Linked DNA regions of Oryzias latipes. The protein of the gene in region 1 interacts with the protein of each later gene in a biochemical or structural test. Links are inferred from orthologs where the notes say so. Each region holds a gene or a part of one and is shown in the gene's direction. Other genes may lie near its edges. The genes, in order: fgfr1, nedd4 and anos1.

Region 1 (4,373 bases):
GCAAGTTCAAGTTTGTGACTGCTGGTAACACAATCCAGCCTTATCACTGCATGCAGGATGAAAGGCTGACACATGCCATGACATAAATCAGTCTGTCAATCAATCCATTCTTTCATCTAACTGTGAGGCTGAGCTTCATGTGTCCCTGCAGCTTCAGTTGTCACTCATTTGTCAACTGTGACAGGAAATCAAAGGAAATATGAGCTCATCACATGAGTTATGCGTTTGATGAGGCAGAGCAAATTTTGCGTTTGTGCTGACCTTGCAGGCACATTTGAATTTCCACTGCTCTTTGTAACTGTTCCAATTCTGTACACCAAACAATTGAACTCATTTATGTATGCTTTGAATGGAAAGCTGATGAAAGTGGTTGCTTTCTTTGGGAACATGGTTGTTTTTCTCATTTGATAATGCATACATCCAAGAATCAATTATGGTGGCATTTGTTCTGCTTTTGCGAGAGGGTCTTATTGATTCAAAAAAGAAGGAAAATATAATAGTTGAGTCATGAAAAGTCTCCCTTAGGTAAAATAAATTAACGTTTATCTCATATGCTCCACTCAAACAATCTATTTATATTTAAATTGTATTTGTATTACCGGTAATTGCAATGTCAACAAGATTTGATGTGAAGCAGTTTTTCTGCTTAAAAATTCCCTATTGTTTTTTAAGAAGAAGGCAGTTATTTTGTTTTTCTGACAGTTTTCCTGCATAGATCTCCATTCTGTGGAGTTTGGTGAGGTGCTGTGGATGGAAGGGGTGCCAGGTTTCCAAAAGGCTGCATGTCCCACGTCATGCTAAAAAGAACCAAGGAAATTCAGGAGTTCTCATTACAAAATAAAACACAATGTTTGTTCTTTTGTCAACTCAACAGCTGGATGTGTTAAATGCAATGAGCATAATCTTTAGTACATTCATACTAGCACCCCTGAAGATTATATAATATTTTTTAAATAATTTCTAACGTTAGATTTTTTTCAAGTTAAACTTTATATCAAATAAATTGGTTTCTACCAGATGTAAATAACCCTTAGCAAAAAATAAGTCTAAGTGAACTACATGTACTTAATCTATATGTTTACTCATATACTATCTAATGTAAATTTAAAATGTTGAAATTCAGTCTGAAGAAGACTTTAGCTGGTATACTTTATGCACTGCACGTGGAGGTATTGTTTTCAAACATTAAAAATGGTAAGGACTTTTAAGTACAGTGGAATGAAAGCCAACTTCTGCTTACTGTTTAATTATATGTTTAAATTGTGTGTTGTTTTCATTTGTAAAGTGTTCTTGGGAGCCTGGAAAGGCCCCTTAAAATTAATGGATTATTGATTTTATTACCATCAAACATTTTTATCCTGACTTTTATTTTGAAATTTTGAAGCGGAAGTGGTGCGTGCACTGGTTTTGACTTTGCAGCGGTGAGAAGAATGCAATACTCTATATAGAGGGAGGCACGGATTGACTTGGTCTCTCGTTATCGTAACAGCATTTCGCCATTAGTAATGTTCAAAAATACTTTCCATGAACGGATATAATTTTTTCTTTCTTTTTTGTAAAAGCCGCAAGACCGAACAAAGTCGCTTCCGGTGGGTTTTGTTAGACTGAGTAAGTTAAAGAACTTTAGGACGCAGTTTCCAGAAACGCGGATTTCATCCTAGCGTGCGAAACGTGTTGGGGATAAAGGAATCATCAACACCAGCCCGGAGGCTGCTCTCGTTTTTCTTATTTGTTAGGTAAGATAATTAAAGCGGTCGCAGAAAACAAATGTAAGATCATATATTTAGTGCAGACTAACGCAAAACTACTAACTTTTAGCTGCTAGCTAATATTGATTTCCCTCGCGGCTTAGTAGTTTGGAATTTGTAGATTATGAGTGGGGTGAAATTCCTTCTCTCGCACGAGTTTGTCAGAAATATAATTTGACCTGTAAGCTGAACGCAGATAACTCGACTTCGTCAGCGGTGTGGATATACAGCTTTGGGGGACGTTTTCTCGAACCGAATCTCAGCTCAGGCAGGACTCGCTCTCATCTGACCAACACTGGCTGTTTCACTGCTCCCCGCCAGGAAGGTGAGCTCTCTCTGTTTTGTTCTTTCGCTCTTTGATTTAACTTTAGTTTACTGTTTGTGTAAGGGGATAGTTATGGTTTCTAAAAAAAAAAATCCACGTTCTGAAATAAAAATAAATAAACCTAAAGCGGTTTGGGGGGAGGGGGTAAAAATTAAATTCTGGAAATCCAGTCCTTTTTCCTAAATTAAGGCCATCACGAAGTGCATGTTCGGTCACATCAGATCATCAGATCAGGAAAATGAGAACATGATAAATTATGTGAGCTGAAAGCATACATTTTTTTAACTGTACAAATTGGCTTTTTATTTTATTTTAAATTGGTTTATCAACCTTCTTTTTGTTTGCCCTTTTGCCTAAAACGCATTCAAAATTGTTTTGAAAGTCAATATCTAATCCTCTAGCTGTTCCTCTTCTTTCCTTGCTTCTGACTAGCAGAAGAAAATACTTTAAAAATTATTATATGCATATATTTTTTAAAAACGTTATTATTTAAAGTGTCAGTTGGAGTCGACAAATATGCATCTGTCCTCAAGGCTCAATCTTAATGGGCAGGACTGATGTTTTGTAAAGCTGTAAATGCTATGTTATTAAAGAAAATGAAGAAGAATGCTGGTTTGAAGAAGCAGTATGTCTGCAGGGAGTTTACCAAAGGGAGAAAGGTTTTACCTGAGGCATATAATGAGAAGTGAAGGAAGAGTTTTGCCCTTTAATTTACCAGGCTGCTTCTTTGGCTTAGTTATTGTCACTTAAACTGTGTCTCTGGAAGTGTGGTGTCAAAAATGGATTTTCTTAAAGTTTCTTAAGGTTTAATTTCACTTATTTTCCGTGTGATAGATGTATTTTTCTCTGGTTGACAGTTGCACAGTTGATGATGCTTGGTAGAATCCCAACAGTTGGTGATCCCTGTTTTATGGGGAACAAACAAACACTGCGAGTGGTACTAAAAACACTCAGGGTTTAAGTGTCAAACAAATGGCGAAGTGTCAAATGGTTTGAAATTGATTGTCTTTACATTTTAGTGTAATCTCATGATATCCGATACCACATCATGACATGCTGTTGGCCAACTAATGCTTCAAGGTCTATGGTTGTGAAGAAAGAAAGGTGAAAGAAAAAAAGATGTTTTTTGCAGTCGCCTTGGGGAAATGGTCTGATGCCCCGCGGCCACTGAACTGCATCCATGTGCGGACTGGCCTGTTGCTGGCTGCAAACCCAGACTCAATTGGAAGGGGGTGATTTACAGCATTTGGCTGCTGAGGAATTTTATGCATGGATGGTGGTGAAGACTAATTATGGTGCAAGCCATGTTATGGGTTAGTACTGTAACCTTTGTTCCTGCATAATGAAGGAAGCTTAATGTGTCCCGCACATTGTTATTCGTTTTGTCTAACCTCTTTTTGGTTTGGCAGATCTTTGGAACATGTGTTCCTTTCCCTCCTTCAGACAAGTTGTATTTCACAACTATTTTGTAAAAACCAGAAGCAAAGATATCATATTAATATTTTTAAACCAGCATATTTCTTTTATTGGTCATGCATTATGAGTCAATGATGACTTTGCATAGTGTTTTTTTTATTTTAAAGAAGTTCACTACATTGGATGCATACAGCCATTGGAAATGTATAACTTTGGGTTGTAGATGTGGAAAGAAAATCCAAATTAGCCATCTTTTTAGGTTGCTCTAAATGATTATCTAGTTTAGTCATGCAGACAAGGGAGAAAGGACGATTTAACAAACGTTTGATATCTAAATCTACTCAACACTGTTGTCATTTAAATTGAAACGGCATGATGATTGATTATTAGCTCTGTATTATTTCATAATACAATTACATACACAAAAAACCCAACTACCACAAAATATTATAATTACTTCAAGCAGTAACCCACTTCTTCACTTAAATGTCAAACTGTTTTTCTAACTTTTATTCAAAAGCAAAATGTTATTTATATGAAAAGTTAAAGTACCTTTAAAAAAAAAGTTTAAAACTAGTTTTATTAGTTTTAAAAAACTAATGCAAAAAATGCTTAAACGATAAATTCAATATTCTAATATAAGAGTCATAACATTTTCTAAAGATAAATGTAAATAACATTTCTCGTTTTGTATTTATATTAATATTTTAGATACATTTATGGATCAATTGATTATTGACATGGTGCGTATACAAGGTCTTTCTACAATCTCTCCTGCTTTGATGATTGTGCAATATCTAGATAGTTAATTTGGAAGTAATTACTTCTAATATTATCAGGATGTCGTCAATGCTAAAGTAACTGCTGTGGGTGGACCAATTAAT
Region 2 (3,652 bases), on another chromosome or scaffold:
ACTGAAACATGTAATGTTACCTGTAAATAAAAGAAAAGGGAAATCAATGACAAAACACTAACCTCCCTAGACTAACAAAAACAGGAGAAAACGAGTACTAAAGAAAATGGCAGTTCACCCCTACAGCTTCACTTAACATAACTACAAACCAAAAGACTAAACATGGTGGGCACAAAACCACTAAACTACAAAATACTAGAAAACAACACTAAGTGCAACACACAACAAAACAGGTGGAGAGGAGCGCCAAGCTGCAGTGGAGACATGTTGCTGCAAGGCTCCCTTCTCACATGCTGGAGGTCCAAATGGTGGTTGTAAAGGCTGCCTCCATCAGCTTGGGTCCAAATGGAGGCCACACCTGAAAATAATCAGACATAGACATACACACACAAAGATCAACAAAAACACAGAAGTCCCACTCTGATACGAATCAAATACACAAAACACAGAATAAACAGAACAAAACAAAACCAAATACGGCCACAGCCGTAACATCAACGATATTCGACATCATTTGGGTTATTTTTTATTTTCATGAAGCCTGCTACCTTCAGATGGTGCTGTTTATTTTTAGAGTTTTCAATGCAGCTTGAAGTCCCGCTCCAGTCAGTTTTGTATCTATCTTTAAAAGGGTTCCCAGGGTCTTTTATTAAGATTATGTCTTTTAGGACATAGTTTCTGCAGAGCAGCAGAAGTTCATCAGAAATTCGCCTCTGAGTTCTGGGCAAAGTAAGCCTTCCCTGGCTTCCCATCATCCTTCTGTTTACAGCCCCTCACAACTCTAAGCTCACATTATCGGTGCAACAAAAATGGCGAACAATATTGGAGCTATTCAGCTGTACAGTTCTGAGCCAGATCCAATCTCAGACGATGGAAACAAACTCGTACCTGGATCTAGTCGTCCACAACCGGATGCATCACAGTGGAGCTGGGCAGGGAGTTTGCGGCTCGTTGACTGTAGCAGCTGTGTCATTACTACAGGGATTTTTCAAACGGCATTATTTCGTCTGCTCCTTATTCACCACAATTTGAATAAAGAAATAACCAGAAATTCAATTGTAAGCTTAATTTTCTTTATTCATGTCATCCATCATGAGAAAAATGCTACAAGAACTTGTTAAAAACCAAAAACACATTTTTCATTGGAGTGGGTCTTTAGTAGGCACAAAGGCTTCAGGTCATGATTACCCTGATTACCCTGTCCCAGGCTGCAGCAATGCACTACCATGTTTTTAGTGTATATCTTTCAATAGCCTGCATCGGCTGATTATCAATAATTGGTGCTATGCAAACATTAACACTCTGGAAGCTACAGATTTTATTACCACAATGTGCTGGTGTGTCTCTCTGAAGAGATTGACAAAAATTCACCAATCACACCATGAAGATGCAGCGTGCTCTGTCTCCTCTTTGTGCATATCTTTGCTACCCAGTTTTGCTATCTCATATTGTAAAGGAGCCAATCCTGAGACCGGGTACCTTGTACAAAAAGTTCTGACCTTGTAAAACAAATCCCCCCTTTGCAAAGACAGACAAATTTGATCTCTTTTTTGACCTCAGCCTGCAAGGAAAGGAACAGTTTTACTCATTTCAGATTCCTGAGAATCAGCAATTCCCTCACCTGAAAGAGTCATCAATACCAGGAAGGAAATGTTTAATTTTTTGATTAAAGAGACTTTTAAGATCAACGTTTTGTTTTTGTTTTTTTCTTTTTTTATCTTCTATTTACTTACACAAAAGGCTTTATTCTAAATAGGTAATGCTCAGTGTTGACCCCATACACGTTAATTATGTTTTGTTTAGGGAAAAATATACTGATAAAACCAGCCTCAATCCATATTTGTCACCTTTGGACTGTTTAGACAGTTTGACCTGCATGTCTGTTGTTTTTTCAAAGCAATGTTTTTTTTACCTTTTAAGGAGAAGCTTTCAAGAGAAAAAAAAGGCACACACTAAATGTTCCAAATGCTTGACGGCAAAACAGTGTCCATGTTGCATTACTTTTTATTTTCCATTTGTCTCGCTGTAACACAGAGCTGCTGTTCATCTGTTGCTGATAATCACTCATCTGAGTTGCACACCGAGATAAAAGGCTTCACTCGTTTTAAGCATGGGACACATTTTCTGTTTGCGTATTTGTAAAATTAGATAGAAAGTACAGTTGGTAATGAACTAAAGGGGGAAGAGAGAAAAAAGACATAAAATGCTCGGTTTAAACCAAATAACAGACACAATTTTAATGTGTCTAATCTGAGATACACAACAAGATTTTTGATGTTGTAAAACTTACATATGCTGTGTATCTTGTGATTTTGAGAAGTGAGAACATTTTAAGGTTTATTAAGGCTAAAGATCAAGGATAGAAAGGTAATTGTAATGCTAAGAGTATGATGCAGCGGAATAAATTGCACCAACAGAAAGTCAGCGCAACTTTGAAAAGTGCGTGTGTCTCACTGAAACATTTTTGACACTTGTGTAACTTCCTGTTTCTCTGACAGACACGTGATGACTTCCTGGGACAAGTGGATATTCCTTTAAATCAGATACCGGTGAGTGGCTAAATGTCTTTGTATGTACGGACAGACCGAGGAAGAGTGTGGCATAGTTTACAGCACATCTACAATGGAAAACGTGATTATATACATCTTTACGGCCTGAATTACAGCCTAAATTTAGACAGGAATGAAATAGCTGAATAATTAAGGACTACAGTGTCTGCAAGTCAAAACTGTATTTACTGTCCTGCAACTAGGTGTTTTTACCCATGGATGCAGCAGAAGATGCCTTAAAGTAGGCAGGAGTCCAGAACGTACCCTACCTGTATGAGTTCTTAACCTCTGTCTCACCCATGCCTTCATGCAAACATAAATACACACACCGCGATTCAGATGTCAGTTCCCCATCGGTGTCCATAGTTTTGAAAACACTGTCAGCCATGTTTATGTTGGTGCCTTTGTTTTATTATAAATACAACTCCCTCAAATTAGGCTTCCTTGTGCACCGGTACCATCTTCCCATGTTTTATTTTAAAGTACACTGACACAGCCCTGGTGATCTAAACGTGTGCACATTATAATCAAAGTTTTTTTTTTATGTGTGTTTGTGGATTGTTTTTTTTTTCTCACAGACAGAAAATCCTAGTTCAGAAAGGCCATACACATTCAAGGATTTTCTGCTCCACCCTCGAAGGTTGGCATTTCATCATATGATTTACTTTGCTCATTTTAAGATCCATTTTTTTATGTTGACATTTTCATTTACTAAGAGAAGTGATACAAGTGAAACATGATCACAGTTAAGGATTTGCTTATAATGTGTAGATCATTTATTGAAAATTGACTGTTTTTTCCCCCCCAAAGTCATAAATCAAGAGTCAAAGGATATCTGCGTCTCAGAATGACCTACCTGCCAAACGACTCAGGGGAGGAAGCAGCTGACCAGACTGAAAACAATGATGTAAGTTGGCCCTTATTTTTCATCAATTGGTCATTTACTTCAGCTTTAATCTTCTTAGAGGATAAGTAAAATATTAATTGACTGTATTTTTTCCATGTTTACTGTCCCACTTGGTCTGCTTTGCTTGTATATGTTGGCTAAGAATAAACTGGATTCCAAGCATTTTGCTCAAACCAAAAAAATCTTCCTTCTGTGT
Region 3 (3,652 bases), on another chromosome or scaffold:
AAGTAAGATAACTCAATCTGAGGCACCGCCTTTCGCTCCGTGTGGGCGCCACCCAATTTATGACATCAACCCAGTCGGCAGCATGTCTGTGTTTCACCCACAAAAACAAACAACATCCGAACTTTTGCAAAGATGGACGCGCATATTATACACATAAAAGGGAAAGGTTTTTGCCGATCACCACTGGCTGTGTGGAAAAAGTGTGTGTGTTTGTGTGTGTATAAGCCTGGGGGCGGGGCTGGCAGTGCAGCCTCTTCCTAGAAGGGGCGGTTCCTCCCTTATCTACATCACAATGTGAGAACGTCGTCGTTGGTTGAGTTGGGAGGGGCTGGTACTCAGAGCGCAGGTTTTTAGAGGAAACGTGTGAATGGTTAAAAATGAGGTTTCCTTTTGTGAGGAAATAATATTATTATATACTCAAAAGCTCAAAAAAGTTGATTTTGCGTGGTATAGACCCTTTAAGCTTTAAGTTGTTTTTTTACAATGCTGAACACTTTTGGGTTAGAGTTAGGGTTAGGGTAAGTTGTAAAATTTCTGCTACCGGCCAATGATGTTAGGCGCCATGTTGTCTGGAGCCAGGTCCCTCAAAGCCTGTGGTCTCACGTTGATTGTCCGAAATGTTCAACAAATTTTGTGTAGTCCCCTTTCAAGTAGTAGAGGGTTGGACTTCCAATAATCTCACTCCTGATAGACGAAAGTGATTGGAATAGAAATGACGACTCAGACAGATTTGGACCAATCACACCTTACTTACGGTATTGAGCTCCAACATGACGGCCTCAATATCACAAAAAAAATGCAGACTGAATTGACTTGATTTGGTTAGAGCCAGAAGTAATCTGTTATCTATGGGCGACCTCACGCTCACTCGGTCCAGTTCTCACATACCGTCAATGAGAAGAACAGCTGAAATACGATCATGGAGGTACATCTGGAGGACCAGGACCGGGCAGTTTGTGTGTTTTTCATCGCGCCTTTGTCATTTTGCATCTTTTTGAATACTTTTGGAGCACGCAATGGGGAAAAAGAAAAAGAAGGACAATCAAGGAATTGAACTTCCAGTCATTTGTGTGCTTGCTATCAGTCACACACATTGATGCAATGTATTCTTTGTTGTTTTAAGTTCTTATGGTGATGAAAGAGCCTTTAAACACAGTGGATGTTTGAAGGGAAAAACATTAAGTATGATGAATAGCCCTGCCTGAAGTGATAAATCACAACGGCAACATCTGTGTTTCTAAATATCTCAATCTGGATTCCTTTTCAGGAGGTGTTCTGAAGCTTTTATTCCTGATTGACTGAGTACCTTTCAAAAGTCGTGCATGGGTTCACTGTTTGACTTCTCAGTTTTTACAGTAACTGTGAGTTTCCTTCACTGTAGCTCCAACTCCAAACCCTTCTCTTTTACTTTAACGGATGCTGCATTCAACCTGAGGGGAGGAGAACACATCCAGGGCGAAGGCATAAATATTTTTTAAGAGATTTTGCTGATTTCTGTCATTAAGACCCTGGAACTGCTTTCCCTCCTGGAATACTAGCAACTATTTGTTCCAGCAATAAACAAACCATTTCATGGGATTTTGGAGACGAAAGCCTGTGTTTTGATTACAGCAAAGAGCTCACAAAGATTGCAAGTCCTTACTTGGACAAAATAAACTACAGTCCTGTGGACGTGTATGGGTTTGGTTTAAAAATGACACCATTGGACAGATTTTGAAGACATTTGAAAAACAAAAACAAAACAACAACCCTGGAATCTGCAGATGTGCACATTAAAAAAAGCATCAGTTCACATTTTGAAACTTTCCTCCCGACTGGTTTAGAAAAGAGGAACAAATGAGAAACGTCTGCTTCACTGACGCAAAGCCAAAGCGTTTGTGATTTTGACACAAACTGAGCAGCTTTCAGTATTTAACTGAGTAGACAAATCATTTGATCACTCCAGAATTTGGTGACCCAAAACTATGAGACAACCGCAAAATGTACGCGTTCTTGCATTTCCAAACAAGGCTCCGACTGAGGAAGGAATGGAGCTGCAATGAGCGGAGGAAACGCAGCCGTTGAATGAATGTCAGCGAAGATGCTTTGGCGGCGTTTGAGCTGTTGCAGATCAACCAGAGCCAGACAGATCTGATCCCTCATTCTGATGAGGGGCGTGTTTGACCATTGCACGTATTTAATTGCAATTTTCACATTAAATCGTAAAGACCCATTAAACTGTGTGTTTTGGGCGTTTTTAACATCATACTCTGATCATCTTTTGATCCATTGTGAAAGCCTTCCCAGCAGTGTTGGTTGTACTCTGAATTATCCCCCGGGCGAGGAGCCCCCCCCCCCTGATGTTGCTCGCCATTTTTGGTGCACAGGTAATGTTAGGTTGTGGATGCGAGGGGCTGTAAGCTAGTGGGAGAGTGTGTAAACAGAGATCTCTCAGTTATGGATGACAGGAAGGGGAGTGAGGTTAGTTAAGCAAATAGTCCCACCCACAACAAACAGTAAGGGGAATTTTTAATGAACATTAAACTCTACAGAAACAATGTCATCAAAAACTACACAGCTTTTTTATTTTGGCTAAAAACCACATAATCATATCTAAAATACCACTGGAACTGCTTTTAAAAAAGCTCAAGAGATGATCTTAGTGGGATTTTAATGCTCCATCAAAACAATCACTTTAACATCATCCAGAACTATCAGATCTTCCTTTTTTTCCATCTGGGAGCACACTATCTCCAAAGAGAGTTTCAGGAGAGATTCAGGCCAAGAGACGGATTGTCTAGACGCTCCACACACACCTTTAGAGAGATTTTTTTTCTGAATTAGTTTCTATAATGTGGAGCAGATGTGGCACAAAAGAGATAAAGGTGGCAGACACCGGACCCGGTTGACACATGTAGTGCTGGCTTCCACTTTGGCACCTCGGGGCTTTGAAAGCAGCCTGCTGACGGAGGAATGTCAAAACACTCGAAGCCGGGAAGAGGAGCTCATCAGGTTCACGCTGATGGTGGAATGCTGGAAGCACGGTGAGGAAGCCCTGGGAGGTTTTGATAACACAGCTCTCTCTAAAGACCCTCAAGGCTATCTCTGCACCGCGATCCCTTCTGCGGCGCTGCATGTGTTCTTAATAACCTGGGCTTTCCCACAGGCCGTGGCGGCTGAGCTGTCTGGTCAGTGGTTGGTGCAGGCGCGCCGCCTTTGAAGGGCGTCTCAAGTGACAGTGTGGTAACAAACAGATGCCAACATCCCAAGTGTTTTCTTTTGTGACAGGCCCAGAACTGGCTGGATCTGGAGGGACTGCAGCAGAACAGCAGCTACAGCGTGGAGCTGCAGGCCATCACGTACTGGGGGCAGGTGCGCCTGAAGAGCCCCAAATCCTCGCTCCACTTCACCACTAACCAGAATAATGAGTCAGGTAAGTAATGACTCTCAGGCTCTACATGAGGCTGGGCAGATGTGATCGCTGCTCTATGCCAGCTATGTGTGGTATTTTGATGGAACACTGAAAATAGACTGAACCGCTCCTGTTGCAGTGCAAAGAGTTTATAATTTTGCTGGATCTTTGCACTGAAGAAAACTCAATAAAGAAAAAAGAGCCGCATTCTGGGAAAGGATTTCATTAGTTGTGAATTTTTTATCCTTCATGGTCTTTCAT

The links.
Region 2: the proteins of fgfr1 (region 1) and nedd4 form a complex in vitro, tested with the Homo sapiens proteins (2 studies listed by BioGRID and IntAct, with this or other methods). The link is inferred for Oryzias latipes from reciprocal best matches to the Homo sapiens genes FGFR1 and NEDD4.
Region 3: the proteins of fgfr1 (region 1) and anos1 form a complex in vitro, tested with the Homo sapiens proteins (3 studies listed by BioGRID and IntAct, with this or other methods). The link is inferred for Oryzias latipes from reciprocal best matches to the Homo sapiens genes FGFR1 and ANOS1.

The regions. Positions count from the first base shown.
Region 1 is NC_019867.2:20,628,876-20,633,248, reverse strand, and holds the start of fgfr1 (fibroblast growth factor receptor 1 precursor), read left to right. Parts: upstream 1-1,437; 5' UTR 1,438-1,736; exon of another isoform or gene 1,737-1,944; 5' UTR 1,945-2,073; intron 2,074-4,373. UniProt on the Homo sapiens protein: Tyrosine-protein kinase that acts as a cell-surface receptor for fibroblast growth factors and plays an essential role in the regulation of embryonic development, cell proliferation, differentiation and migration.
Region 2 is NC_019861.2:21,574,767-21,578,418, forward strand, and holds part of nedd4 (E3 ubiquitin-protein ligase NEDD4), read left to right. Parts: intron 1-2,498; coding exon 2,499-2,549; intron 2,550-3,127; coding exon 3,128-3,189; intron 3,190-3,359; coding exon 3,360-3,456; intron 3,457-3,652. UniProt on the Homo sapiens protein: E3 ubiquitin-protein ligase which accepts ubiquitin from an E2 ubiquitin-conjugating enzyme in the form of a thioester and then directly transfers the ubiquitin to targeted substrates. Specifically ubiquitinates 'Lys-63' in target proteins.
Region 3 is NC_019879.2:24,201,721-24,205,372, forward strand, and holds part of anos1 (anosmin-1), read left to right. Parts: intron 1-3,267; coding exon 3,268-3,412; intron 3,413-3,652. UniProt on the Homo sapiens protein: Has a dual branch-promoting and guidance activity, which may play an important role in the patterning of mitral and tufted cell collaterals to the olfactory cortex. Chemoattractant for fetal olfactory epithelial cells.